Linked DNA regions of Canis lupus familiaris. The protein of the gene in region 4 interacts with the protein of the main gene of each other region in a pairwise test. Links are inferred from orthologs where the notes say so. Each region holds a gene or a part of one and is shown on either strand. Other genes may lie near its edges. The genes, in order: KIFC3, MFAP1, IQCN, MID2, SYT17, DCX and FARS2.

What was found.
Region 1: the proteins of MID2 (region 4) and KIFC3 interact in binary tests that used the Homo sapiens proteins (3 or more experiments, as listed by UniProt). The two-hybrid records come from large-scale screens. The link is inferred for Canis lupus familiaris from reciprocal best matches to the Homo sapiens genes MID2 and KIFC3.
Region 2: the proteins of MID2 (region 4) and MFAP1 interact in binary tests that used the Homo sapiens proteins (3 or more experiments, as listed by UniProt). The two-hybrid records come from large-scale screens. The link is inferred for Canis lupus familiaris from reciprocal best matches to the Homo sapiens genes MID2 and MFAP1.
Region 3: the proteins of MID2 (region 4) and IQCN interact in binary tests that used the Homo sapiens proteins (3 or more experiments, as listed by UniProt). The two-hybrid records come from large-scale screens. The link is inferred for Canis lupus familiaris from reciprocal best matches to the Homo sapiens genes MID2 and IQCN.
Region 5: the proteins of MID2 (region 4) and SYT17 interact in binary tests that used the Homo sapiens proteins (3 or more experiments, as listed by UniProt). The two-hybrid records come from large-scale screens. The link is inferred for Canis lupus familiaris from reciprocal best matches to the Homo sapiens genes MID2 and SYT17.
Region 6: the proteins of MID2 (region 4) and DCX interact in binary tests that used the Homo sapiens proteins (3 or more experiments, as listed by UniProt). The two-hybrid records come from large-scale screens. The link is inferred for Canis lupus familiaris from reciprocal best matches to the Homo sapiens genes MID2 and DCX.
Region 7: the proteins of MID2 (region 4) and FARS2 interact in binary tests that used the Homo sapiens proteins (3 or more experiments, as listed by UniProt). The two-hybrid records come from large-scale screens. The link is inferred for Canis lupus familiaris from reciprocal best matches to the Homo sapiens genes MID2 and FARS2.

Annotation. Positions count from the first base shown.
Region 1 is NC_049223.1:57,991,420-57,994,919, forward strand, and holds part of KIFC3 (kinesin-like protein KIFC3), read left to right. Parts: exon of another isoform or gene 1-268; coding exon of another isoform or gene 269-280; intron 281-1,140; coding exon 1,141-1,206; intron 1,207-1,703; coding exon 1,704-1,847; intron 1,848-1,992; coding exon 1,993-2,232; intron 2,233-2,671; coding exon 2,672-2,845; intron 2,846-3,463; coding exon 3,464-3,500. UniProt on the Homo sapiens protein: Minus-end microtubule-dependent motor protein. Involved in apically targeted transport. Required for zonula adherens maintenance.
Region 2 is NC_049251.1:10,836,831-10,840,330, reverse strand, and holds part of MFAP1 (microfibrillar-associated protein 1), read left to right. Parts: intron 1-85; coding exon 86-215; intron 216-485; coding exon 486-673; intron 674-1,193; coding exon 1,194-1,302; intron 1,303-1,402; coding exon 1,403-1,563; intron 1,564-2,855; coding exon 2,856-3,015; intron 3,016-3,500. UniProt on the Homo sapiens protein: Involved in pre-mRNA splicing as a component of the spliceosome.
Region 3 is NC_049241.1:45,151,459-45,155,566, forward strand, and holds the start of IQCN (IQ domain-containing protein N), read left to right. Parts: upstream 1-1,308; 5' UTR 1,309-1,432; intron 1,433-3,002; 5' UTR 3,003-3,051; coding exon 3,052-3,135; intron 3,136-4,108. UniProt on the Homo sapiens protein: Essential for spermiogenesis and fertilization. May be required for manchette assembly in elongating spermatids.
Region 4 is NC_049260.1:82,076,228-82,078,962, forward strand, and holds part of MID2 (probable E3 ubiquitin-protein ligase MID2), read left to right. Parts: intron 1-46; coding exon 47-449; 3' UTR 450-2,735. UniProt on the Homo sapiens protein: E3 ubiquitin ligase that plays a role in microtubule stabilization. Mediates the 'Lys-48'-linked polyubiquitination of LRRK2 to drive its localization to microtubules and its proteasomal degradation in neurons.
Region 5 is NC_049227.1:26,253,006-26,256,505, forward strand, and holds part of SYT17 (synaptotagmin-17), read left to right. Parts: intron 1-937; coding exon 938-1,557; intron 1,558-3,500. UniProt on the Homo sapiens protein: Plays a role in dendrite formation by melanocytes.
Region 6 is NC_049260.1:85,154,160-85,157,659, reverse strand, and holds part of DCX (neuronal migration protein doublecortin), read left to right. Parts: coding exon 1-181; intron 182-3,500. UniProt on the Homo sapiens protein: Microtubule-associated protein required for initial steps of neuronal dispersion and cortex lamination during cerebral cortex development. May act by competing with the putative neuronal protein kinase DCLK1 in binding to a target protein.
Region 7 is NC_049256.1:6,682,059-6,685,988, forward strand, and holds the start of FARS2 (phenylalanine--tRNA ligase, mitochondrial), read left to right. Parts: upstream 1-1,130; 5' UTR 1,131-1,257; intron 1,258-1,591; exon of another isoform or gene 1,592-1,808; intron 1,809-3,930. UniProt on the Homo sapiens protein: Is responsible for the charging of tRNA(Phe) with phenylalanine in mitochondrial translation.

The DNA.
Region 1 (3,500 bases), on a different chromosome or scaffold from region 4:
AAGGACAGAAGTCTGGAGACATGGGCCTGTGTGCTCCCAGCCACGGCCTGCAGGGAGGGCGCTGAGCTTGTCTTCTCAGGGTGGACGCTGGGCATCCAGTCCTGTGCTGCCCCTCACCTGCCTTCCTACTGGTCTGGCCTCTGCAGGCAGCAGACTTTGTTGCTGTTGCTTCCTAATAAGACCCAATGCTTCGTGGCCTGCTTGGGTCAAACCCACCTCCTAGGTCCCCACAGAGAGAGTCTGACTCTCACTGGGCTTTCTCAAGGTGATGTACAGTCAGGTACGGTCATCACAGAATGTTCTGTGACAAAACCCCTAAATATGCACTGATGACATTGGTGCCAAAGTCTTCGGTTGCATTTTGGGTTATTTCCCAAGAGGTTCCTGGAGGGGGGCTGGTGCAGAATTGGGGTCTGGAGTCTGCAGGGAGGGTGGCCAGCTGGAGGACAACTCTAGGGGAGGGTTGTTACCCTGGGATGTACACTCTCAGAACTGGCATCCTGGTGGCTTCCTCTGGCTCTGGCTGAGCCAAGCCACCCTTGCTTCCTGATGGGGTGCACACACCCTTCTCTGATGGTCCCAGCTGTCCAGCAAGGCAGACAGGGACCTGGGGGGTGGGGGGACACAGGTCCAAGACATGCCCTGGTTGCTGGTAGACCTGTCTCTATAGGCAGACTTGCCAGGCACCACTGGAATGGAAAAATCTAGGTTCTGGGCAAGGACCAATCAGGTTTCATTGTGTCTGGAGTTTATACAATTTGGGAGCCCTTTTATGAAAAGGGAATATAAAATTACAAGTATGTAGACACAGGCTGTGGCAAGGGACTGTGCAAGGTGGGGGTCCTGAAGGTCAGCCTCCTGAGTCTGCCAGGGAGCTGCCTCTGGTGTGGGCACAGAGTGGTATAGAGGTCACCTCTGCTGTGCTTGCTCCCCAGACTTTGCTGAGAGCGGGACTACCTGGGTCTTGTGGTAGGAGAGGGTGCTGAAGGCCGTTGGGACAGGGCAGGTGTCTCTCACCCAGAGTCCTGGGTGTGCCCTGATGCTTGAACTGAGGGAGCATGCGGGGCTGAGAAATGAGGCCTGAGCGTGGGCCAGAAGTGAGGAACAAGGCTCACCGTGACTGTGGCTTTGTGCTGGCAGGTGGAAAACCTGAAGGAGAAGCTCATTAGCCAGGCCCAGGAAGTGAGCCGCCTTCGATCAGAGCTGGTGAGGCTCCACACTGCCATCCTAAGGTGGGGGCTGCAGGGGGGCTGGCCTGGCCTTGTGCAGACTGACCCTTCCATTTGAGGTGTGGGACCCCATCCCTCCAGAGCCCTCGAGTCCAGCCCAGCAGATGCCATTGGGCCTGAGAGATGCTCCCCAAATACTTGTCACCACTCACTAGGCCTTCAGAGGTCGTGTGACCCCCAAAGGGAGGGAGGTTAATTCTCATCTGCCGATGTAAAACAGGAGTGTGAACTCTGTGTATAAATATGACTTTCTTGTTACTTTCACACTCGGGAAAATAGCATGAGAGGGGCGGGTAAGGCCATCCCCCCGGCTCCCCTTCCTTCCTCTGTCTTCTCCTTATGTCCCCCTTGAGCTGTCTCCCCTCCCTCTCCTGCTTCTCTCTCCTCTGCGCTGGTGCCCCCTCGGCCTCCCTGCTCTCTGCTCCCGGGGCCTGGCCTTGCCACATGCATGCCCTGTGCTCTGGCTCCGTGCAGGGAGGCACGGACCTGGAGAAGCACCGGGATCTCCTGGTAGTGGAGAATGAGCGGCTGAGGCAGGAGATGCGGCGCTTCGAGGCCGAGTTACAAGAGCTACGGGCAAAGCCGGTGGCCCCCTGCGCGGGCTGCGAACACAGCCAGGTGAGCACAGAGCCACCTGCTCCCAGAGGGCTCGGTCCCTAACGGTGACCCCGGCTCCTCTCCTTGCAGGGAGCCCTGCATGCTGGTACCCCCCCCCATCTGTTACACACTTGTCCCCACCCCGCTCCCAACCACCTGTCTGCAGGAGAGTGCCCAGCTCCGGGACAAGCTGTCACAGCTACAGCTGGAGGTGGCGGAGAACAAGGGCATGCTGTCGGAGCTGAACCTGGAGGTGCAGCAGAAGACCGACCGGCTGGCCGAGGTCGAGCTGCGGCTCAAGGACTGCCTGGCCGAGAAGGCACAGGAAGAGGAGCGGCTGAGCCGGCGCCTGCGAGACAGCCACGAGACCATCGCCAGCCTGCGGGCCCAGTCGCCACCCATCAAGGTGAGCCTCTGGCGCTGGTGGCCACGTGCAATGTCCTTGCTTTCTTGGCTGCACCCCAGTCTTACCCCTTCCCCCTCTTGCTGTCCAGGGCCAGACATGTAGTAGGCATCTGGCAGCCGAGGCTCAAGGCGCCCACACGTGCCAGGCATGCCTGTGGTACATGGCAAGATTCTGCTGTCGTCTTTGCCCTTCCTGTCTGTTCTGTGCCCAGGCTGGGGTCACAGCCAGGCTCTTGGGCTTACTGAGATGAGAGGATGCCCGGAGGCCCTGCAGCATCCTGTAAAGCCAGGACCTTGAAGTTCCTCTAGTTTTTTCTGGGGGCTTTTGGTGGGATGTCCCTGAGGGTCCTCTCCCAAGGCCAGCTGCGTCTCAGGGCCCCCCCGGGGGTGAGGTCGAGGCACCTGCACCTTCAGGCGCCCATCCCTCCTCCCCCTCACAGTACGTCATCAAGACCGTGGAGGTGGAGTCATCCAAGACCAAGCAGGCCCTCAGCGAGTCCCAGGCCCGGAACCAGCACCTGCAGGAGCAGGTGGCCATGCAGAGGCAGGTGCTGAAGGAGATGGAGCAGCAGCTGCAGAGCTCTCACCAGCTGACGGCGCAGCTCCGGGCGCAGGTGCGCAGGCTGCCAGGGCACACGCACGGGGCTGTGGGAGAGCATGCACACGCGGTGGGAAAGCCAGAGGTGGGCCTGCAGCACAGCGCGGCGGTTCAGTACTGGGGGGCCCATGGAGCTGGGTTCCAGCCCCCCCACCCTGCTCTCCCTGTTGGCTGTGTGACCAGCGCCAAGTTTTATCTACGCCTCTGTTTCCTCGTCCATAAAATGATGTGCTCATAGAAGCTACCTCCCTGTGGAACTCAGAATAGTTGCCAAGAGTCCTTGCCTGCAGGCCGGGCACACAGGCTCTTGGAAAGGGGCCTTGGTCACTATTATGACATAATATGCTCTGCTGGGGCCTGTGGCTTGTGTATGTGTTATGTGTCAGGACCCAGGCTGGTGCTGGGGCTAATGCAACAAAGTAGCTGCATGGAGCTCACAGAACTTTCCAGGAGTGAGATGGCCTCTCCTGTGTGTGTGTGTGTGTGTGTGTGTGTGTGTGAGACTGTATGTGTGCATGTGGAGGTGGATGCTGTTTGCTCCTGTACATGTGTGGGGTAAGGCATAGGGCTTCTTTCTGGCACCCACCCCACTCCCTCCTGAGCCCCACGTTGAGCTTCTGGCCTTGGCCGTCAGATCGCCATGTACGAGTCAGAGCTGGAGCGGGCACATG
Region 2 (3,500 bases), on a different chromosome or scaffold from region 4:
CAGGTGCTCTAAGACTAAGGAAATGTGGGTAATGCTCTTTCACTTTTGTGACATTGGTGTTATACTTGAAGATGCTGTTTTTCAGATTGGCTCGACATCGGAAAATAGTAGAACCTGAAGTGGTAGGTGAAAGTGACTCAGAAGTAGAAGGAGATGCATGGCGCATGGAACGAGAGGATAGCAGTGAAGAAGAAGAGGAAGAAATTGATGATGAGGTATAAAAAGGGAAAATGAGAAGTTCTTTCTGGGTCCGAGAAAAATTGGGGCCTGTTCTCCTTTGTTGAGTTTCCAAAGGCACAAATTTGATACTTTGGCAGAACCCTGATCCAGTGGTTCCCCGTTTGTTGGAGATAGAATTAAAAATAAAATGATGCTAAGTTGTATTTAGTTATAACAGAATTTATTAAATGTGCTGAGGGGAAAATAAAAAGCTGCCTTAGAGCACAGGTCATTGGGCTGACTGACTTGGACATATGACTTGACAGGAAATAGAGAGGCGCCGTGGCATGATGCGTCAGCGAGCACAGGAGAGAAAAAATGAAGAGATGGAAGTCATGGAGGTGGAAGATGAGGGACGTTCTGGGGAGGAGTCAGAATCAGAATCTGAGTATGAAGAGTACACAGACAGTGAAGATGAGATGGAGCCTCGCCTAAAACCTGTCTTCATTCGAAAGTAAGTATGTCATAAACCAGGCCTGATTCCACATAGTTACTACTTTCCATGTCTGAAGATGGAAGCCTTTTTTTCCTCTCTCAGGCTTTTCTGAAATGTCAGCTGTAAGTGAAAGTCTTCTGCCCAGTTCCCTATCTATGCAGAATATTTGCTGAGGAATATCTTGGTATTAACAGAGAACCTGAGTTACGTGCTCATAACTCCCTTTTTAAAGAGCATATAATCTCCCCACAGTCCTGTAAGGCACAAAATTAAACTTGAAAAGTGAATTCCTGGTCCTTTTCTAATGGCAAGAAATCTTACAATTTATAATCCAGAAGGTTCTTGCTATTCAGGCAGTTATCAAAGATGAATGGAATTTTAATGCTTTAAATACCTAGGATGACTCCCAACTTTGGCTGTTTGCAAATAATAGAGCCAGCGATTATTGGGCTTTGTCTCATTTGGATGGGACTTAAGCTAGAGACAAAGAGGTCCACTCTGAGGACTTTGGGCAATTAACAGGACTTCTCTGTTGCAGGAAGGACCGAGTAACAGTTCAAGAACGGGAGGCTGAAGCATTAAAACAGAAGGAGCTGGAGCAGGAAGCAAAACGCATGGCTGAGGAGAGGCGCAAGTACACACTCAAGGTACTGGGGAGTGGCTGTAAGGATTGCATGCAAGGAGGAGTATACTTAGGTTTGTCAGGAAAATAAGGAGATCCAACAGTTAAATGTTCTCTTTACCCAGATTGTAGAAGAGGAGACCAAAAAAGAGCTGGAGGAGAACAAGCGGTCCTTGGCTGCACTGGATGCTCTCAATACTGATGATGAAAATGATGAGGAAGAATATGAGGCATGGAAAGTTCGGGAGCTAAAGAGAATCAAGAGAGACCGAGAAGATCGAGAAGCGTAAGTAATAAGATGGGCCTGTAGTTTAATATCAATAATGGGACAGGTTACTACTAGGGTAACTCTGAGGCTCAATACCTACCATGAGTTAGTTCCATTCTAGCTTTCTTTAGGGTTCCTGCAACTGAGTGAGTTTCTCATAATTGTAATGTGGCTTATTCTAATAAAATTAGTGAAAAGAAACACTCTGTCAGTGTTTCTCTTGATAGAGTGCCAGTGAATACTTCCTGTAGTTTCCTAGTAGGCACACACAAGTTATTCACTGTTATTAATTATCCAATCTTGCATAAAAACCCAACCCAAAATTTGGTGACTTGAAACTGTTGATTATTCCTCACAGTTTTGGAGTTCGCTAAGCAGTTCCTCTGCTGGTTTCACCTGGGCTCTCTTAATGCACTTGGATCCAGCTGGAGAATTAACTGGGCTAGAGTGTCCAAAACGGTTTCATTCACATGTCCAATAGTTAATGCTAACCTGCCTCACTTCTTCAGTGGGCTAGATCGGCTTCCTTATAAAACAGCCTCATGGCAGTATTCGAAGAGGACAAAAGTGGAAACTGCCAAGGTCTTTTGAGGCTTATATGTCATTTCTGCAAAGGGGCATGCATATTGTGAGGGGAAGAATTTGTGGCCTTTAAATACTCTACCACAGTCAGTATTGTTAGATCAGAATCATTTCTGAGCTGCATCACTCATTCTTAAAAATTACTAGGAATGAGAGGGTAATCCCAGATTACAAAAGGAAACCATGAATAGAAAACTCTGTCCTCAGCCTGCAGTTTCTAAGATTTTTATCCTGGGTTTCAAGGAGTGCATGTACCCTTTAAAATCATATACAAAGTTATGTCTATTTGTATTTTTCTGGAGACAAGGGATATATGGCTCCCCTCCCCCCAAAAAGGGTTAGTCACTGCAATCTAATTAATGATGGTAACCCTTGGTTTGTCATGTATGTACATACACAATTACTTAAAAAAATGCCAATTAAATCTTAACACAGTTATGTTAAATTCTGGGTTTTTTTAAAGCCAAGTAGGCTTTTTAGGGAAGGGAAATTACTAACATTGCAAAGTCAAGTAGTAATATTATGTCCGAACCTTATAAAGACTATTGGAAGTTTACAATAAGACCATTTCACCTTTTTATTTGTTGGGCTCCTAATCTTAACTCCTAATAGGCAATGACTAGAATTAAGGAAGGTGAATAATGCTTGAAAGATGAGACTGCATTAAGTTCAGATAATTGAGTCTCTCTGAAACTGGAATAATACTAATAGTTTTGTTCTCCACACAGGCTTGAGAAGGAGAAGGCAGAAATTGAACGAATGCGAAACCTGACTGAGGAAGAGAGGCGAGCTGAGCTTCGGGCAAATGGCAAAGTCATTACCAACAAAGCTGTTAAGGGCAAATATAAGTTCTTACAGAAGTATTATCACCGGGGTGCCTTCTTCATGGTAAGGAGTCAAAAGGGAATGGGAAGTTTGGGCTATAGAAATAATTTGGAACTTTTGAGTTCTTTTCTCCCCCCAAGAATAAACTGTCCTGGGATGTTACTTCTACTTGCCAATGGTCAGTGTTCTCATTTATTTTTGCCTCTAAAGAATATAAATCCAATAGAAAAAAGCATTGACAACACGATTTTAGAAGTAGCAGCCACTGTTCTCCATTCAGGCCCAGATATCAGGAGGAAATGGTGTGTAATAGAAGAATTGAGGAACTAAAATAGTGATCTATGTATATAGATATAGACTACTTAAATCCCCAAAATTAATTAGATAATCACTATTCATAGCTGAGTGAGGAATTTTGCTTATGCAAATATTTGGGAGGTTGAAATTTAATTCCCTTCAATCTGAGCTGACAAAGTGACTAACCAAAAAAAAAAAAAGAAAAGAAAAAGTTTATTATCTAGCCAGTATGTGTAATACCATCAAGATTT
Region 3 (4,108 bases), on a different chromosome or scaffold from region 4:
TGTGGCTTTGGCAGGACCCTGCTGAGCTGAGGCCAAGGTGTGTGTCAGCCCCAGCCTGGCCAGCAGTGATTCAGCCCAGGCATCAGCCCAGCCCCAGGAGGTGGATGGGGACGGTGGCCTCACTTTCGCCTTTAGGACTGTGGCTCAGAGTCAATACCCACTTTTGCCAGGCCCATATGGGGATCCCAAGGGACCTTGGGCCCAGCTCTGTTCTAAGGATGGCCCATCCTCAGAGCCAGACACAGATACCCACCTGGCCTTTTAGGATGTGAACCAGAGTATAAGAGCTGTGCCTCCTTTGCTCTAGACCCTCTCGAGGCTCCCCGGAGCCTTCCTGATAAAACCCAAACTCTCATACTCCTGAGTTCCTCCCAATTCAGTATTCCACCTCCTGGCCCTCTTCTCCTGCCTCCAACCACCTCAGCCCCCGTGTTCCCTAATCATGCCCATCCTGTTCCCACCTTGGGCCATGTGGTGCCCTTCCCCCAGCTCTCCTAAGATTACTCCTTCGCCTCCTGCGCCTCCTGCAGGACTCAGCCCATCCACCCCCTCTTTGATTCCTTCCTAGCAGTTTCACACCCCCAAATTATTTGAGCCGTGTCGCTAGGCAAAGTTAGGTGTTCCTCAGAGGCACCTGGAGGGCTCACTTGGTGGAGCATGTGACTGGATCTCGGGGTTGTTGGGTGTAGAGATTACTTAAAATATATTTTTTAAAGATTTTATTTATTCATGAGAGAGAGAGAGGGAGGAGACGGAGGCAGAGGCAGAGGCAGAGGGGGAGAGGCAGGCTCTCTGTGGAGCAGGGAGCCTGATGGGGAACTTGATCCAGGACCCTGGGATAATGACCTGAGCTGAAAGCAGACGCTGAATCGACTGAGCCACCCAGGCGCCCTTAAAAATAAAATCTTAAAAACAAAAACAAAAAGTTAGGTGTTCAACAAATGCCCAAGGTATGTGAGACTGAGTTTGCCTTGAGACATGTAGGGGAAGAATTTGAGGCCCCCTCTGCTCAGAGCCCTAGTTTTCTATTCAGGACAGGCAGGCAGTATGTAGCAACCACCAAGACCCTTAGTCTGATCTAGGTCTTGCCCCCAACACTGGGTCTGCCTTCTATTTTTTTTTTTTTAAGATTTTATTTATTTATCCATGAGAGACACAGAGAGAGGCAGACACATAGGCAGAGGGAGAAGCAGGCTCCCTGCAGGGAGACTGATGGGGGACTAAATCCCAGGACCCCAGGATCATGACCTGAGCCGAAGGCAGACGCTCAACCACTGAGCCACCCAGGCATCCCTGGGTCGGCCTTCTAGAACTCTCTTCCCCCAGGAGCTGGTGGGGATTGGCTGGAACTTGGCCGTGAGTCACAAAGCCATTGTGGCACCAGGGCCCCAAGGCTGGCCATTCGGGCTGGTGGGTTCAGCTTCAGGGGCAGGTGAGTGGGGCTGGTGGAGGGTTTGGTGGGGGGTACACGGAGGCTGGGTTGTTCTCCCCTGCCCCCCAGCATCCTCAGAGTCCCCTTGGGCCCTCCAGGCCACTTTAAAAAGTGGGTCAGCTTCTCAGCCCCTCAAAACAGGGGCACTTGGGACCCCCGTAAAAACTGATGGTGGGTTTGTCTGCCTGAGGTCCTAGCCTGGAGAGCCTACCATGTTTCCCTGGGAGGCTGGGAAAGTGGTTTTAGCTTGTATAAGGAAACTGAGACTCAGAGGGGTTTACTCAAAATCGCCAAGCCAGCCATTCGGCTTACATGTCTGGGGGCCCCTAATCCTTTTTCCTGTCCCCTGTAATCACATTCCTCTCACTTTGTTGTCTATTTGTTCACTCATTCTGGTTGAGTTCACTGAGAGGACTAAACCATGTGGCTGGTGAAACCGCAGACTCTAGGATAGGTCAGTTCAGATCCTAAAGCTGTTCTCCCTAAATTCTTCAGAACTTAGCTTGAGTGGTTCTCATCCATCTGTCCATCCATCCATCTATCCATCCATCCATCCTCTTTCAACCATCCATCTATCCATCTATCCATCCATGTATCTATCCATAAACATATTGAGCACCTCTTGTGTACACTGTTCTAGGCATTGGGGATTCAACAGCAAATAAAAGAGACAGACATCCCTACCCATGGGCAGCTCATAGTTCAATGGGGGAGGCAAATCAGAAATAAAGTAAAGAAGTATGAAATATAGTATGTTGGCTTCCCTGGGCCTCAGGCTCCTCCTCTGTGAAGTGGAGACGATGACTGTGCCCGCCTCCTGGAGAACCAGTCTCAGGCCCATTACACTGATGCTTGTTCTGAATGGGCCCAGCCCATTTGCGGCTGGGATGAAGACTGGGAAGGGGCAGGACACTCAGGCCATCAAATAAGTGAAGCTAGAATGTTCACCATGAAAGGAGGCAGCACAGGGGTCTTTTAAAACAAATCTATTTTGATCATCTTTGTCTTGAAGTTTTTAATCTCTTATCATGTCAATTACTAATATGGTTGAATTTAAGTCTTCTGTTAATGGGCATTTTTAGATGGTTTCTGGTTTGGGGTGAGTATGAACACTTGTACCTCTTAAATGTAAATGTTAGGGTGGAATTGACAAGTTACCTTCAAGACTGACAGTTTCCCCAGTTGGTCATGATGTGTCCACCCTTTCAATTTTAGCCATTTTTGTGGATCTGGACACCATTTCTAATGGCCGGATAGCATACAACTGTATGAATGTCCTGTTTAATTTAAGCCACCTCCTAAGTTATTTTTAGTTTTTACTCTTCATAAATAATACAGTGATGAACATCCTTGAACACTCTCCTTTATGCACTTGTAACTGACTCCCTAGCAATCACCTTGTTGGTTATTTCTAGTTGATCCGCTTTTACGTATAAAAGAACACTAGTGTAAAATTCCTTTTGCATTCATTTTTGTGGACTTAAAAGTTTTTGGCTTTTTTTTGAAATGTTAGGGTTTTTTATTTTTGTTTTTCTTTTAATATGTCTCCTCACATTGGGCTTGAAAACAGAGCCAGCCCAGGGCAGTGTTGCTGTACGTTGCATGGGATGAAAGGCTGAATGAAGGCTGCTTCCTCTTACAAGCTGGCTTCTGAGATTGCACCTTCTCCTCCTGTTCCTCCTCCAACTCTATGGCCTTCCAAGGTATGAAGATGGCTGGGAAAGGGGAATCGGCTGTTTCAGCCAAAAGTTGGGGGTGGGTTTCTGCCCAACAAACATGTTATGCTTCAGGTGACATATCAAGGATGCTTGGCAGTATCCACCCCAATTCCCTCTGAGCCAAGGTGCTTTTGGAAGCCATAGTGATCCCCTCATTCTTCTACCCACCCATCTGCCAGTGATCTACCCATTACCTGTTAATCATTCACCATCCATGCACTGATCCATCCAGCCATTCATCAGTTCACCTCTTATTCATTGATCTCTTCACCAATTCCTTCAGCTCTCTCCATCCACACACTCATTTATCTACTCAGGTCTCGTCCATCCTCTACTCACTGGTCTGTCCATCCATCCATTCCACCCTTCTTTCCCCTCCTGCTTATTCATCCATCCACTCATTCATCCATTTACCCACTCATCCATCCATCCATCCATCCATCCATCCATCCATCCATCCATCCACCTACCCATCTGTCCATCCATCCATGTGTCCATTTCCTTATTTATTGATCTATTCATCAATTCATTCGTCTACTTCATTTACCTATTTATTCTTCCACACAACCCTTTATCCATCTTTCTAACCCATCCACCATTCATTTATCCAGATATATCCATTCAGTATCTATCTACCCAAATTCCAATCCCCTCCATCATTCATTTATGAATATAGCCACCCACCCAACACTCACCTGTCCACAGTCTGGAACCCAGGCCCTTTGACTGAGATGAGGACACAGAAATGACTCAGACCTGGTTCCTACCCTCTATGAATTCACAGTAAACAGGGAGAGGCAAATAACACACACACACACACACACACACACACACACACACACAGAGGAAATTTCCCAAATAGTGCGATCAGAGCTATATTCACAGTATGTTCCAGATATAAAGGAAGTTCAAAAAGCAAGAAGGTGATTGGGCTTTCAGCTGAGAATGTGCATTGTTG
Region 4 (2,735 bases):
ATCATTAATAAATGTTCATTTCTCTCTCCTTTCCATGGGCTCACAGGTATGCAATTGGTATTGCCTACAAGTCTGCTCCCAAGAACGAATGGATTGGCAAGAATGCCTCCTCATGGGTCTTCTCTCGATGCAATAGTAACTTTGTAGTGAGACATAACAACAAGGAAATGTTGGTGGATGTGCCCCCACAGTTGAAGCGTCTGGGTGTCCTTCTGGATTATGACAACAACATGCTGTCGTTCTATGACCCAGCTAACTCTCTCCATCTTCATACTTTTGATGTGACCTTCATTCTTCCAGTTTGTCCAACATTCACAATCTGGAACAAATCCCTCATGATCCTGTCTGGCTTGCCTGCCCCAGATTTTATTGATTACCCTGAGCGGCAGGAATGCAACTGCAGGCCTCAAGAATCCCCTTATGTTTCTGGGATGAAAGCTTGCCATTAAGTTTCAAGAGAGCATATAATTCACTGGCTCTCTAGTTCAGCACTTCCTTCCTTCCTAAACCTCAGTTAGTGTCCAATATACAAGATACAAAATGAAGTTCATTTGAAGCATCCAAAATAACTAGATATTACAGATTTAATTTTTGTGCATTAAAGCCTATATTTGAATTAAGGTATTGAGTTTCTCAGAACGAATTGTCTGAGTAGTCTGAGTTCAAGCCATTGGAGGGGAAATCTAGGGAATACCCCTCTTATCACTGGAGAATTAACAATTCCCAGTAATCTGGGAGTATAAATTATTTTGGAAGGAATTAGGATAATTCTAAGTAGATAATGTAGAAAGATGCTCTGAACAAGGGGCTAGCCAGCCAGAAGGGTGTGCATGGGCACATGTTGGCCTTTCTAGTTTGGCTAAGTAGGATTTGAAGTGTGGAAGGATCACACATTATATGTAGTTTTTGATAAAAGCCTACAATCAAGGATTTATTATAGCGAAAAACATGTATGTGTATATATAATATATATATATAAAATGAATAAATAATATGTTATATATTCATTTTATAATTATATATACATAGTAAATTTTTTGATTTGCTCATTTGAGTAAGAAATATAGTGGAAGGGAAACTAAATTATAGCATCCATTTTTGTCCCCTAAAGGGAACATCAAGATCAGGCAATATTTCCTTCCTCCCTCCATTCATTCCTCCCATTCTCTCTCCTGTCACACAGACATTCACGTGCAATAATGACATTGATGGTGGGAAGAGCTCTAAATTGGTTTAAGAGAGTTTGAGGGACAAGATTGCCCAAGAGATGCTATGCTGGGCAGAAAATTGATCCAAGTAGAAGCATTATATGTAGCACGGTTTCACTGAGGCTACCTAATGCAGGAGGTTCATCTGAATTGTTAAAAATTCCATCACAGAATGTCTCAAAGAAATAGTTTTATTACTCTCAAGTACATACAGTTACTAGAATTAGGCTAAAACAAGAGTTGCACAATGGACGTTCTTTAGGAACTTTATTTACTTAATCAGTAAGAATGGAGTGTTTTAGATGCAACAACCATTTGCATATAAATGTACTTGTATTTTCAGATAAAACACTTCTGAAGTGCTTGAGAATGCCTGAGAACCGTCTGTTTTCAACAGGTTAAAGGATTGTTTCCTATGAGACCTTGTTTACACTATTCCTCTGCTTTAGCCAACCCTTCCTGGCAAATGCAAATGTAACTTTCATCCCAATCTTCATCACTATTGTTGAAGGGCATCAAGTTTTATGGTCTCTGCTTTTGTCAGTTTCACTGCAGAGACTGGGGATGTCAGAATCAGAGTTTTCTCCTTCCCAGCAGATAAGTCTGCTTCAAGGAGTCTACGTCTTGGGAGATGCGAAAATACTACTTTTGTACAAAGTGGTAGCTGTAACAAGCCACAGACTAGAGTCTTGAAACAATGCTAAAACGTCTCCTCTCTTCCTTTCAACCACCTTGGTGGATATTCATTCATTCGTTCGTTCGTTCGTTCGTTCAACAAACTACTAGATGCCGGGTACCACTCTGCTGCTGATGTATTGATAAAACACAGTCCCTTGCTGTCAAATGCCTTACTATTGTGTAGGAGAGACAAAGTATCTATATAAATCCCCTAAATAACAGCTTTGTATTGTTTATTCACCTAACATGGAAAGCAGGACTGATGCCCATTCAGATGGCAGACTCAAACTTACGTATTCTAGCAGCAAAGTTGGCTTTTTGGTTAAAAAGCCCAGATGTAATTTCTGCTAATTAGGAAATGAGCAACTTCAATCAGATCCAGCAGTGCTAGGAAATAGCTTACTGCTGTGGAAAGCTTATACATAGCCTTTGGACTAAAACAATCCTAGTTCTAATGCCATTTACGAGCGGTGTGACCTAGGATATAAGCACTTCACTTCTCTGAGCCTCTGTTTCCTCTTCTGTAAAATAATACCTACCTCACAAGGCTGTTGCAAAGATTTCAAAAGATAGCACATATAAACTGCCTAGCACAACACCTGGCATGTAGCAAAGTGCACAACAAATATTAACCTCCTCCTCCCAGCTCCAGCCCCAATACACTGTTGTGGTGCTTTAAATGTATGCCTTTCATTTCTGAGTTACTCTGGTCTCTCCTTGGGGGAGATTTTAAACAAAATAAATGATTTCCCCCTTCATAAAATCTCTCAGTGGCTCCCCTAACATTCAGTAGAAGGTCCCATTTACTTAGGGTTGGGCTTTTCAGGTTCCTGTTTGCTTTCCCAGCTT
Region 5 (3,500 bases), on a different chromosome or scaffold from region 4:
TTGACCTTATATAAAGATTTTTATCACCAGAAAAATTAAATAAATAAGGCAGTAGAAAACTTTTGGAGATAATGGATATGTTGATAGCACAGAGTGTGGTGGTGGTTTCATGGATACATACTTACCTCCAAACTCATGCACAGCCTTTTGTATGCCATTTGTGCCTCAGTTAAATAGTTTTTTTTCTTCAGTTAAATAGTTTAAAAAAAAAAATTCCATGAGCTCACTGCTAGAATAGAGGAATGAGCAAAGATTCAAATGGTGGACTTGGGAGCCATGAACTCTGCTGGTTGATGGAGAAGGGTGAGGTGCCCCACAAGTGGTGAAGTTCAAATATGATCGTTGACAAAGTATAATAGTTACCATTTAGTGACCTCTTACCATGTGCACGTTCTATGCCGAGCCCTTTCCATGCATTGGCTCTGTGAATCACCACAGTCTTTGAAGTAGGGGCTATTACTGACTCCATTTTACAGATAGGGAAACTGAGTCCCAGAAATTCTGGCCTCAGGGTCCACTCTCTGAAAATGGAGGCAGTATAGGGTAATGGTTAGCATCAAGACTTTGGAGCCAGACAGGCTGGGCTTGACTCCTGGTTCTTCCTCTCACTACTTGGGTCACTTTTGGAGAATTATTTAAGGTTTCTGTTTCCTCATCTGTCAAATAGGGATAGTCGTTATCTAAAACCTTGTGAAGATGACTTGATATGTCAATGCATTTAGAACAGTGCCTGGCTGTGACAGAGGTGATAATGCCACCAAGCTACCTCTCATAGAATAAATAAGAGGCTCTCAGGGTGTGGAGAGCAGATGGCACAGAGCATCATGAAACAGAGTGAACAATGTGAGAATCTGAGAAATGGTGCTAATTTCACAAAGTGGCCCAGGTTCGGTCCCATACATGGCGGTCTTAATTATTATTTCTGGTGACTGTTTAGGTCTCGAATCCAGACGACCCAGCTCCCCACTTATTGATATTAAACCCATCGAGTTTGGCGTTCTCAGTGCCAAAAAGGAGCCCATCCAGCCCTCGGTGCTCAGACGGACCTATACCCCAGACGACTACTTCAGAAAGTTCGAGCCCCAGCTGTACTCCCTTGACTCCAACAGCGACGATGTGGACTTCCTAACAGACGAGGAGATCTTGTCCAAGTACCAGCTGGGCATGCTGCACTTCAGCACCCAATATGACCTGCTGCACAACCACCTGACGGTACGGGTGATCGAGGCCAGGGACCTGCCACCGCCCATCTCCCATGACGGATCGCGCCAGGACATGGCTCACTCGAACCCCTATGTCAAGATCTGTCTCCTGCCAGACCAGAAGAACTCTAAGCAGACGGGGGTCAAACGCAAGACCCAGAAGCCTGTGTTTGAGGAGCGTTACACCTTCGAGATCCCCTTCCTCGAAGCTCAGAGGAGGACCCTGCTGCTAACTGTGGTGGATTTTGATAAGTTTTCCCGCCATTGTGTCATTGGGAAGGTGTCCGTGCCTTTGTGCGAGGTTGACCTGGTGAAAGGCGGGCATTGGTGGAAGGCGCTGGTCCCCAGCTCTCAGGTAAGGGGTGGTTTGGTGGTGTCTCCTGCTGGGATCTTTGCAAAAAAAAAAGATGATTATTTTTATTTTATTATTGAAATCGTCTTTGTATTTTAACAACTTTTCATTTTGAAATAATTTTCTACTTCCAAGAAGTTGCTGATGTAATATAGAGTGGTTGTGTTCTCTTCATCTAGCAACCCCAGTGAGAAATCTTACACAAGCAGAGTGCCTTAGCAATACCAGCAAATTGGCGTTGGCAATGGAGCTTCGGACCTTATAGAATTTTCACAGATTTTTACATGCACCATTGTGTGTGTGCGTGCGTGTGTGTGTGTGTGTGTGTGTGTGTTTGTAGTTCTAGGACATTTTGTCACATGTATAGATTCGTGTAACCACCACCACCCTGGGAGCTTTTTTGTCATTGATGCCGGGTTATTTAATAAGGAGAATGATTGTCCAGGGTATGAAGCTATCAGTTATTTTGACTTTCAGAAATTGATTTGGGAAAAATAAAATGAGGGCTGCAGAACAGGATGATATATGGATGTTTTTCAGGCAAATTGTGAGATTGGCTTCTTTCCCCCTACCAGCCCACAGACTTGCAATTGGCTGCTTGGGAAGCCACCCACGGACCAGGCTCTGTCCCCAGTGGGCTGATAGAGTCCCTCCCTTGGGCATTCTGTGGATGACAATGCACGAACTGTGCAGAGAAGGACGAGGTAGGAGCCCAAGGGAAGGAAAAGACCCAGCCAGCTGGAGGCCAGTCTAGTCCATTCAGGCTGACGGTGACAATCCTGTGTAATGCAGGCGGGATTATTTTATGTCAAACATGCCAAGGTGCTTTTCAAAGCTGAACTCTACTGGTCAGGGATTTGATGATCCAGCATCACACCTGGAGTATTAGGTTTTAAACATGGGGACTGGAGGGGTTGCTTGTGTTGTGTGTGTGTGTGTGTGTGTGTTTCCATTCAAAGATAGATTTATCCTTCTCTTCATTTGGATCCCCCTAGGAAGAAGAGAATCCTGAGCCAAGGGAAGTCATTTATTAGGGAGGTGACAGCAGAGGAAACACCAGGATGAGGGTGGGAAATTGACATAAAGTATGCATTATCCAGCTGGCCACCACTTTGGGGAGATCAGGCCCTAAACCTGCTGGGGAAATGGGAAGCCAGGATTAGACACATGTCTAGAGTCTTTTCACCTGAGTGATGGGGGAGTTGGGGTGTGCATATACCAACTCCTATCAGCCACTGAATGAAGGCTGTTGGCAGGGGTATGGAGACGTTCCTTCCCTGGCATTTCTGGCCTGTTAATACTGGTTGATAAAGAGACCTTTGACATCCACAGATGCAAAAAAAAGTGCAAGAGCTGGCAGCTACATGCAGACCTGTGTACACTGAAGTGATCAGGACCAGGAGGTGATGGTCAAAGTGTTAGCTGTGTTTGCTATAATCCCGTATCCTCCTTCCCATCACATGATCAGAATAGATTGGGCGCTTTCCATGTAGCCTCTTCAATATTTGATATCACTGGGTTTTCGACCATCAAGAGGGTTGAAAGAGGGAGACCCACCGGACAAGATCGACTCTGTATCGCCAGCTTGACTGCGCACATCAGAGAATTTGGACATCAACACACCTTGCCTCCTTTAGGTATTGGCTGAAATGTCACAACTTCAGCGAAGATTTTTCTGGCACATCTGCTGTAGTTTGATTCTCCTGAAATCTGAGGCCAAAGGCCAGGACCTGGGTGCAGGTAGATTCTTTAGGAGGCTATCCCGGGGAACAGGAATGAGGGGTAAGGAGGACACAGGGAAGGAGGGAACATCAGTAGTGGTTTTTCAGGTTGCCATTCTGGCCCTAGCATGCTCGTCAGGTGGGCCCCCACACCCTCACGGAAAGACTGGGAAGGAGAAAGAAAGGCCAGGACCAAGCCCGAGCAGAACTTCGGGACCGTCTGTA
Region 6 (3,500 bases), about 3.1 Mb from region 4:
CTTTGTGCGCCCCAAGCTAGTGACGATCATCCGCAGTGGGGTGAAGCCTCGGAAGGCCGTACGTGTGCTGCTGAACAAGAAGACGGCTCACTCTTTTGAGCAAGTCCTCACCGATATCACTGAAGCCATCAAGCTGGAGACTGGGGTTGTCAAAAAACTCTACACTCTGGATGGAAAACAGGTAAGTAGTTTTTTTGTTGTTTTAATAAAAGTACCTGTCTTTTCAGTTATTCTAAATACCTGGATGCCCATGCTGTCCCTGAGGCATCATTTCCAGTTGGGGGACTCTTCCTCTACCTCTCATCATCCCTACCTGTTATTTTATGTCTCACTGGGAAGAAAGGTCTTTTCAGCAGACAAAACAATCCACCAGAAATCTGAGGCTTTGAAATTCAATCTGCTTATGTCTTATCAAGGAGAATGGTCACTTAGCCTCAGCTTTCTTATCTGCTAAGTAAAGGACTGAGTACCTAGGTTTTACACATTCTCGTGAATATGAATTCATCTATGAAGTGATGCAACCTTGATTGTTCAGTGCATGTCACTCGAAGTGAGATTTGTGGGCTCCTTTCTTAGGTGGCCTGATGTTGGTGTTCAGTGTCCATTCTGGTGAAAAGAGGTTGAGGTAATCCCTCATATTCTGAGAGGACTCAGATACAGGGGAAGCACTAATGTCTCTGGTTCGTTGTCTTTGCCTCGCACTAGACCACGTTTTCTCTTTCTCTCTTTTCCATGTGACATAGCTGTCTGAATTTGGTTCCACTGATGGTTTTGTGTGAGAAAGGGACTATTTCAAGATCCTAAAATTAGCCCAAGAAAGATGCTGCCATCTGTTCCTCTCCAAATCAGGTTCTTCATGTCATTGGTTATGCTACTTAAGTACCACCTATATTAATATCTGGGAAAGAATGCAGCCAGGCATCTCCATCAGACAGATGCACCATTCTCTTGAGCATAGGGAGCTGTAAATGTATGACAAAATACTTCCAAAGGATTTGAACAGTGGCTGGTTCTGTTGGCTCTAAAGGGAATTCTGGTCCCCCATCAGCAAAGACAACTGTGAGTTATTATCAGTCCATACTTTCTACTCCTTAAAATACCTTTGGTGTTTGAACAACTATATAGATTCTAAAGAAGTGACTGATGAGCATTCAAATGCAGAACTATGCCTCCTCCCATAATTTCTGACATATACCGTGTGCCTCAAGAATTTAAATTTCTGGTAAAACCTAAACTCATGGATGTGGGAACTTTTCTAAATTTGGGACTTTTATCTGTTCTTCATTTTGTGATGTGAGTGTCACCTGGAGGCATTGGTTATACATGATGTGTGTTGGTTGTACCAAAGCATGGAGTTTACTTGCAATGGGAAAAGTCACAACTCCCAAGCATCTCTCAAAGAGTATCTCTTTCCTGAGAACCAAGTACATAAGAAACAGGCGCTTCCCAGGAATAGTCTTAATCACTGGAACTTTCAGCTCAGAAAAACAGAACCTAGGAATTTTAGGAGCATTGACAGTGACCTGAGAAGTCATGACATTTAATCTCCCACTTATGGCAGTGATATACTCTACAACCATTTCAGTGTTATGAGACAGCCTATTACACTGTTGAAAAGCTGTGAGTTTTAGAAAGATTTTCCTTATTTTGGGCGTAAGTTCCCTTCCCTAATTCATTCAGCCTCTTGAAGTAATGCATGACAAATATGAATCAAGGGCATAAGACTGGGAATCAGAAGACCTGGTTTCTAGTCTTAATATTGCAACTTACTGTGTGACCTTGGGCTAATCACTTAATTATCCAAAGCCTCCTGCTTCTTCATACAAAGGGGCTGATCACACCTGCCCTACCCATGCTCACAGGATTCTCCTGAAGATCAAAAGAAATAATGGATATGAAAGCACTCTAAATTAGAACATAAGATGTAAATATGTATGCATACAATTCATCATTAGATGAGACAAAATATGTAAATTGCCTGGTAATTTACATGTATATCAGTAAATGATAGCTCTTTTAATTCCACTTTCCCTCCATCATTCTTAGCATGAGTTTCCAACATTTTGTGGAGATATACTACATTTCGGTATGCTGGGATTGCTCTTTTGTTTTCTTTATTTTTTAAAAATAATAAATTTATTTTTTAATGGTGTTCAATTTGCCAACATACAGAATAACACCCAGTGCTCATCCCATCAAGTGCCCCCCTCAGTGCCCGTCACCCATTCACCCCCACCCCCCGCCCTCCTCCCCTTCCACCACCACTAGTTCGTTTCCCAGAGTTAGGAGTCTTTATGTTCTGTCTCCCTTTCTGATATTTCCTACACGTTTCTTCTCCCTTCCCTTATATTCCCTTTCACTAATATTTATATTCCCCAAATGAATGAGAGCATATAATGTTTGTCCTTCTCCGATTGACTTACTTCACTCAGCATAATACCCTCCAGTTCCATCCACGTTGAAGCAAATGGTGGGTATTTGTCGTTTCTAATGGCTGAGTAATATTCCATTGTATACATAAACCACATCTTCTTTATCCATTCATCTTTCGATGGACACCGAGGCTCCTTCCACAGTTTGGCTATTGTGGACATTGCTGCTATAAACATCGGGGTGCAGGTGTCCCGGTGTTTCATTGCATCTGTATCTTTGGGGTAAATCCCCAGAAGTGCAATTGCTGGGTCGTAGGGCAGGTCTATTTTTAACTCTTTGAGGAACCTCCACACAGTTTTCCAGAGTGGCTGCACCAGTTCACATTCCCACCAACAATGTAAGAGGGTTCCCTTTGCTCTGCATCCTCTCCAACATTTGTGGTTTCCTGCCTTGTTAATTTTCCCCATTCTCACTGGTGTGACGTGGTATCTCATTGTGGTTTTGAGTTGTATTTCCCTGATGGCAAGTGATGCAGAGCATTTTCTCATGTGCATGTTGGCCATGTCTATGTCTTCCTCTGTGAGATTTCTCTTCATGTCTTTTGCCCATTTCATGATTGGATTGTTTGTTTCTTTGGTGTTGAGTTTAAGAAGTTCTTTATAGATCTTGGAAACTAGTCCTTTATCTGATACATCATTTGCAAATATCTTCTCCCATTCTGTAGGTTGTCTTTGAGTTTTGTTGACTGTATCCTTTGCTGTGCAAAAGCTTCTTATCTTGATGAAGTCCCAATAGTTCATTTTTGCTTTTGTTTCTTTTGCCTTCGTGGATGTATGTTGCAAGAAGTTACTGTGGCCAAGTTCAAAAAGGGTGTTGCCTGTGTTCTCCTCTAGGATTTTGATGGAATCTTGTCTCACATTTAGATCTTTCATCCATTTTGAGTTTATCTTTGTGTATGGTGTAAGGGAGTGGTCTAGTTTCATTCTTCTGCATGTGGATGTCCAATTTTCCCAGCACCATTTATTGAAGAGGCTGTCTTTCTTCCAGTGGATAGTCTTTCCTCCTTTATCGAATATTAGTTGACCATAAAGTTGAGGGTCTGCTTCTGGCTTCTCTATTCTGTTCCA
Region 7 (3,930 bases), on a different chromosome or scaffold from region 4:
CCCCTGCTCCGCCCCAGGTATCAGAGGTTCCCCCCCGCCCCCAGGTGTCCGAGGCCCCCCTGCCCCCCGCCCCCAGGTGTCCGAGGCCCCCCTGCTCCCCCCCAGGTGTCCGAGGCCCCCCTGCTCCCCCCCAGGTATCCGAGGCCCCCCTGCCCCCCGCCCCCAGGTGTCCGAGGCCCCCCTGCCCCCCGTCCCCAGGTATCCGAGGCCCCCCTGCTCCGCCCCAGGTATCAGAGGTTCCCCCCCGCCCCCAGGTGTCCGAGGCCCCCCTGCTCCCCTGCACGTGTCCTCTCCGCCCCTCGCTCCCCCCGAGGCGCCGGGACCGCGCTGGCCGGCCTGGGAGGCAGGTGGGCGGCGGAGGCTCCGCACCCGGGCCCGAAGCCGCCGCCGCGGGACAGACACAAGCCGCCCCCGGCCCCGCCGCCCGCCGCCCGCCGCCCGCCGCGTCACCTGTAGTTGTAGGCGCTGAAATGCTTGCTCTCTCTCAGCATCGCCCGGTACAGATCTAACACTTGTGCGCGGCTGGAGGCTGCCATTTTGGAAAGGGGGAAACAAACAAACAAACCCGCGAAGCGGGGCGTCTTCGGGAAGGCCCCGACGTCACCCAACCCGCTCGGCAAAGCCGCGGACGCGTGAACCGCGCGGCGGAGCCGGGCCGGGGCGGCCAGCGGGCCGGGAGCTCGGCAGGCAGGCGCAGGCGGGCGCAGGCGGGCTCGGGGCAGCCCGAGGGGGAGGCGCCGGCCGGGAGGCGGGCCCCGGGCGCGGCCGCTCCCCCCTCCCCCCCCCCGCGGGCCGAGGCGGGCAGAGGGGAAGCCGCCGGGACGGGGCCGAGCCCGAGGACGCCTCGAGCGCCCAGAGCCCGCCGCCCGAGAGCTGCCCGCCGCCGCGTTGCCATGGTTACCGAGCGCGCCGCCGCTCGACGCCCCGCCCCCGGCCGCGGAGGACCCGCCCCCTCGCGCTGGGGCTGCCCTCCGCGCTGCCTGAGGGCCCGAGCCGGGCTTCCGGGGCGCCTTGACTTTCCCGCGCTGTGTCTGTGGGTCCCCAGCGCAAGGGCGCTTCCGGGGTGCGGGGTCGCGACGCGGGGGCCGCCGAGGCGGTGGGGGCGAGGGACTCCCTGCTGTACGGCTCCGCTCGGGGCGACCGGCTTGGGGGCTTGAGAGCAAGGACCCCTCTCTTGCCAAGATGGCGGCGCCCAGCGAGCTGCGGGGGTCTCGCTGAGGCTGCGAGTGCGGCGGCGGCTTGGAGCCTCCCGGGGGGGTGAGCAGCGCGCAGCGCGGGGTGCCTGGGGGTGCCTGGGGGTGCCTGGGTCTCCTGCGGGCGGTGGGCGAGTGCTGGCCTGGTCGCGGCCGCGGTCGGGGGCGCTGGCTCGGGGCTCCCCTTCCCCGCCTGTGCTCTGAGCTCTCGAGCTTTGCAGGGTCCTGGGTCCTTCGGGGCCGGGGCCGGGCTGCTGCGCCCGCGGAGACCTGGGGCGCCGGGGCCGCTTCCGTGCATTTAGCCGACCTGATGATTTTTTTTTTAAAGATTCACTTATTTATTCATGAGAGACACAGAGGCGCAGGCAGAGGGAGAAGCAGGCTCCACGCAGGGAGCCCGACGCGGGACTGGATCCCGGGACCCTGGGGTCACGCCCTGGGCTGCAGGCGGCGCTAACCGCTGAGCCCCCCGGGCTGCCCCGCCGACCGGATGATTGTTAACGTGGCTTTTGCATTTCACCAAGAACTTGGTATTTTCCGGGACTTTAAGGGGCAGGAAGCGCCCGTCAGCGTACTTGCAACCTGGTGTCCCTGCGTGCACCCAGATGGCACTTGGTAATGTTACTCCTTGGGATGCAATGGCGTTTGAAAAGAAAAAATATAAAAGGCATGGAAGAGAACATACTTTTTTTTTATCATTATCATTTTAAAGATTTTATTTATTTTATTCATGAGAGACACACTCGAGAGGGAGAAGCAGGCTCCATGCAGGGAGCCCAATGCGGGACTGGATCCCGGGACCCCGGGGTCATGACCTGGGCCCAAGGGAGGCGCTCAACTGCTGAGCCACCCAGGTGTCCCCCAAACATACTTTTTTTTTTTAAAGATTTTATTTATTTATTCATGAGAGACACAGAGAGAGAGAGGCAGAGACCCATGCAGAGGGAGAAGCAGGCTCCTCGCAGGGAGCCCGATGTGGGACTCGATCCCGGGACCCTGGGGTCACAACCTGGGCCGAAGGCAGATGTTCAACCACTGAGCCACCCAGGTGCCCCAAACATACTTTTTTTTTTTTTTTTAAAGATTTTATTTATTTATTCACAAGAGACACACACAGGGAAAAGCAGGCTCCCTGCAGGGAGCCCCACGTGGGACTCCATCCCAGGACACCCGGGGTCACGCCCTGGGCCGAAGGGAGGTGCTCAACTGCTGAGCCACCCAGGCTTCCCCCAAACATACTTTCATTAAAATCTTTTTAAACCTCCTATTTGATTTTTTTTTAAGGCCTCTCATTTCTATGAACATCAAAATAAGGCTTTTTTTTTTTTTTTTTAAATAGGATACCCAAACTTCTGTCGCTCTTGCAGGTTGATCACGTCATTGGGCGAGTCTTCCCTCAGGATTATTCGAAGAGATTTTAATAGTTTGAGTTTGTCCTGGGCATTGCTTAAACGTTCAAGAAAGGAATTGCACGTTTTTACGGAGTAAGATCTAGAGCTTTTTTTTTTTCTTTCCGTGCTATGTGAGTGCTAATGACGTAAAAGGCGGCACCTGGGAAAAGGACACCATTCGTCCAAGTTACACATAGAGAAAGCTGGGGACCCCTGGGTTGCTCAGCGGTTGAGCGTCCAGGGCATGACCCCGGGGTCCTGGGATCGAGTCCAGCATTGGACTCCCTGCGGGGAGCCTGCTTCTCCCTCTGCCTGTGTCTGTGTCTCCCCCACCCCCATGTCTCTCATGAATAAATACATAAAATCTTAAAAGTACAGAGTGCTTCAGGTGGAGTACTGGGGAAGTGCTATGGGGGTCTCAGCGTGAGAGGTCACTTTCATGGTTGGGGCCTGGGCCACCCCTCAGATGGACAGTCAATGTGATTTTGACTAAGTTTCAGGGATTTTTAAAAAAATTCCCCAGGTGATTGGTTGCAGTCTGGTAGAGAAGCATTGATCTGTAGGAATTAGGGGGCCTTTTGGAGGAGGTGGTATTCATGTTGCTTGAGAGAATTTAGGTTAGCTAAATCTTTTTTTTTTCTAAATATTTTATTTATTTATTCATGAGAAAGAGAGAGAGAGAGAGAGGCACAGGCAGAGGGAGAAGCAGGCTCCATGCAGGGAGCCCGGTGCGGGACTTGATCCCAGGTCTCCAGGATCATGCCCTGGGCGGAAGGCAGGAGCCCAACTGCTGAGCCGCCCAGGGATCCTCAGGTTAGCTAAATCTTGAAAAGAATTCCGGGATTTGGATATGTGGATGTATTAGTAAGATGGTTATGAAGAATGTAGGTTTACCCTTACAAAGGGTAAAGGAAAGAGTCTGAGTGAGGGCTAGGGAAAGATGATCCTGGTCTACAGAACTCTGAAGCCTTATGAGGGAGGGAGTAGGAGAGTGCTTGACGGTGAGTGCAAGAGAAGTACCCGGAAAGGGCTGAAGCCAGCTGAGTCCTTGTAGGATCTCAGTTAATCCTTTGGAACCTTGATGGGAAAGAAAGCTGTTAATTGCATTTAAAGATAGGGAAGCTGAGAAGTTAGATTACTGAGCTGGAGGTAAGCAGCTAGGAAGCGGGGAGGGTAGGCATTGGCCCAGGATATGATCTGTCTAGCTGTGATGCTACACTGCTTTACAGACAGTCTTCAGTGGAAGCTTCAGGAGTTTGAGGTGTTTTAATTTTTCTTGGATAACATGGGTAAATTTCAGATGTATTTGAAGTTTAATTTCGTTGGATTCCCACTTATTTGTGAAG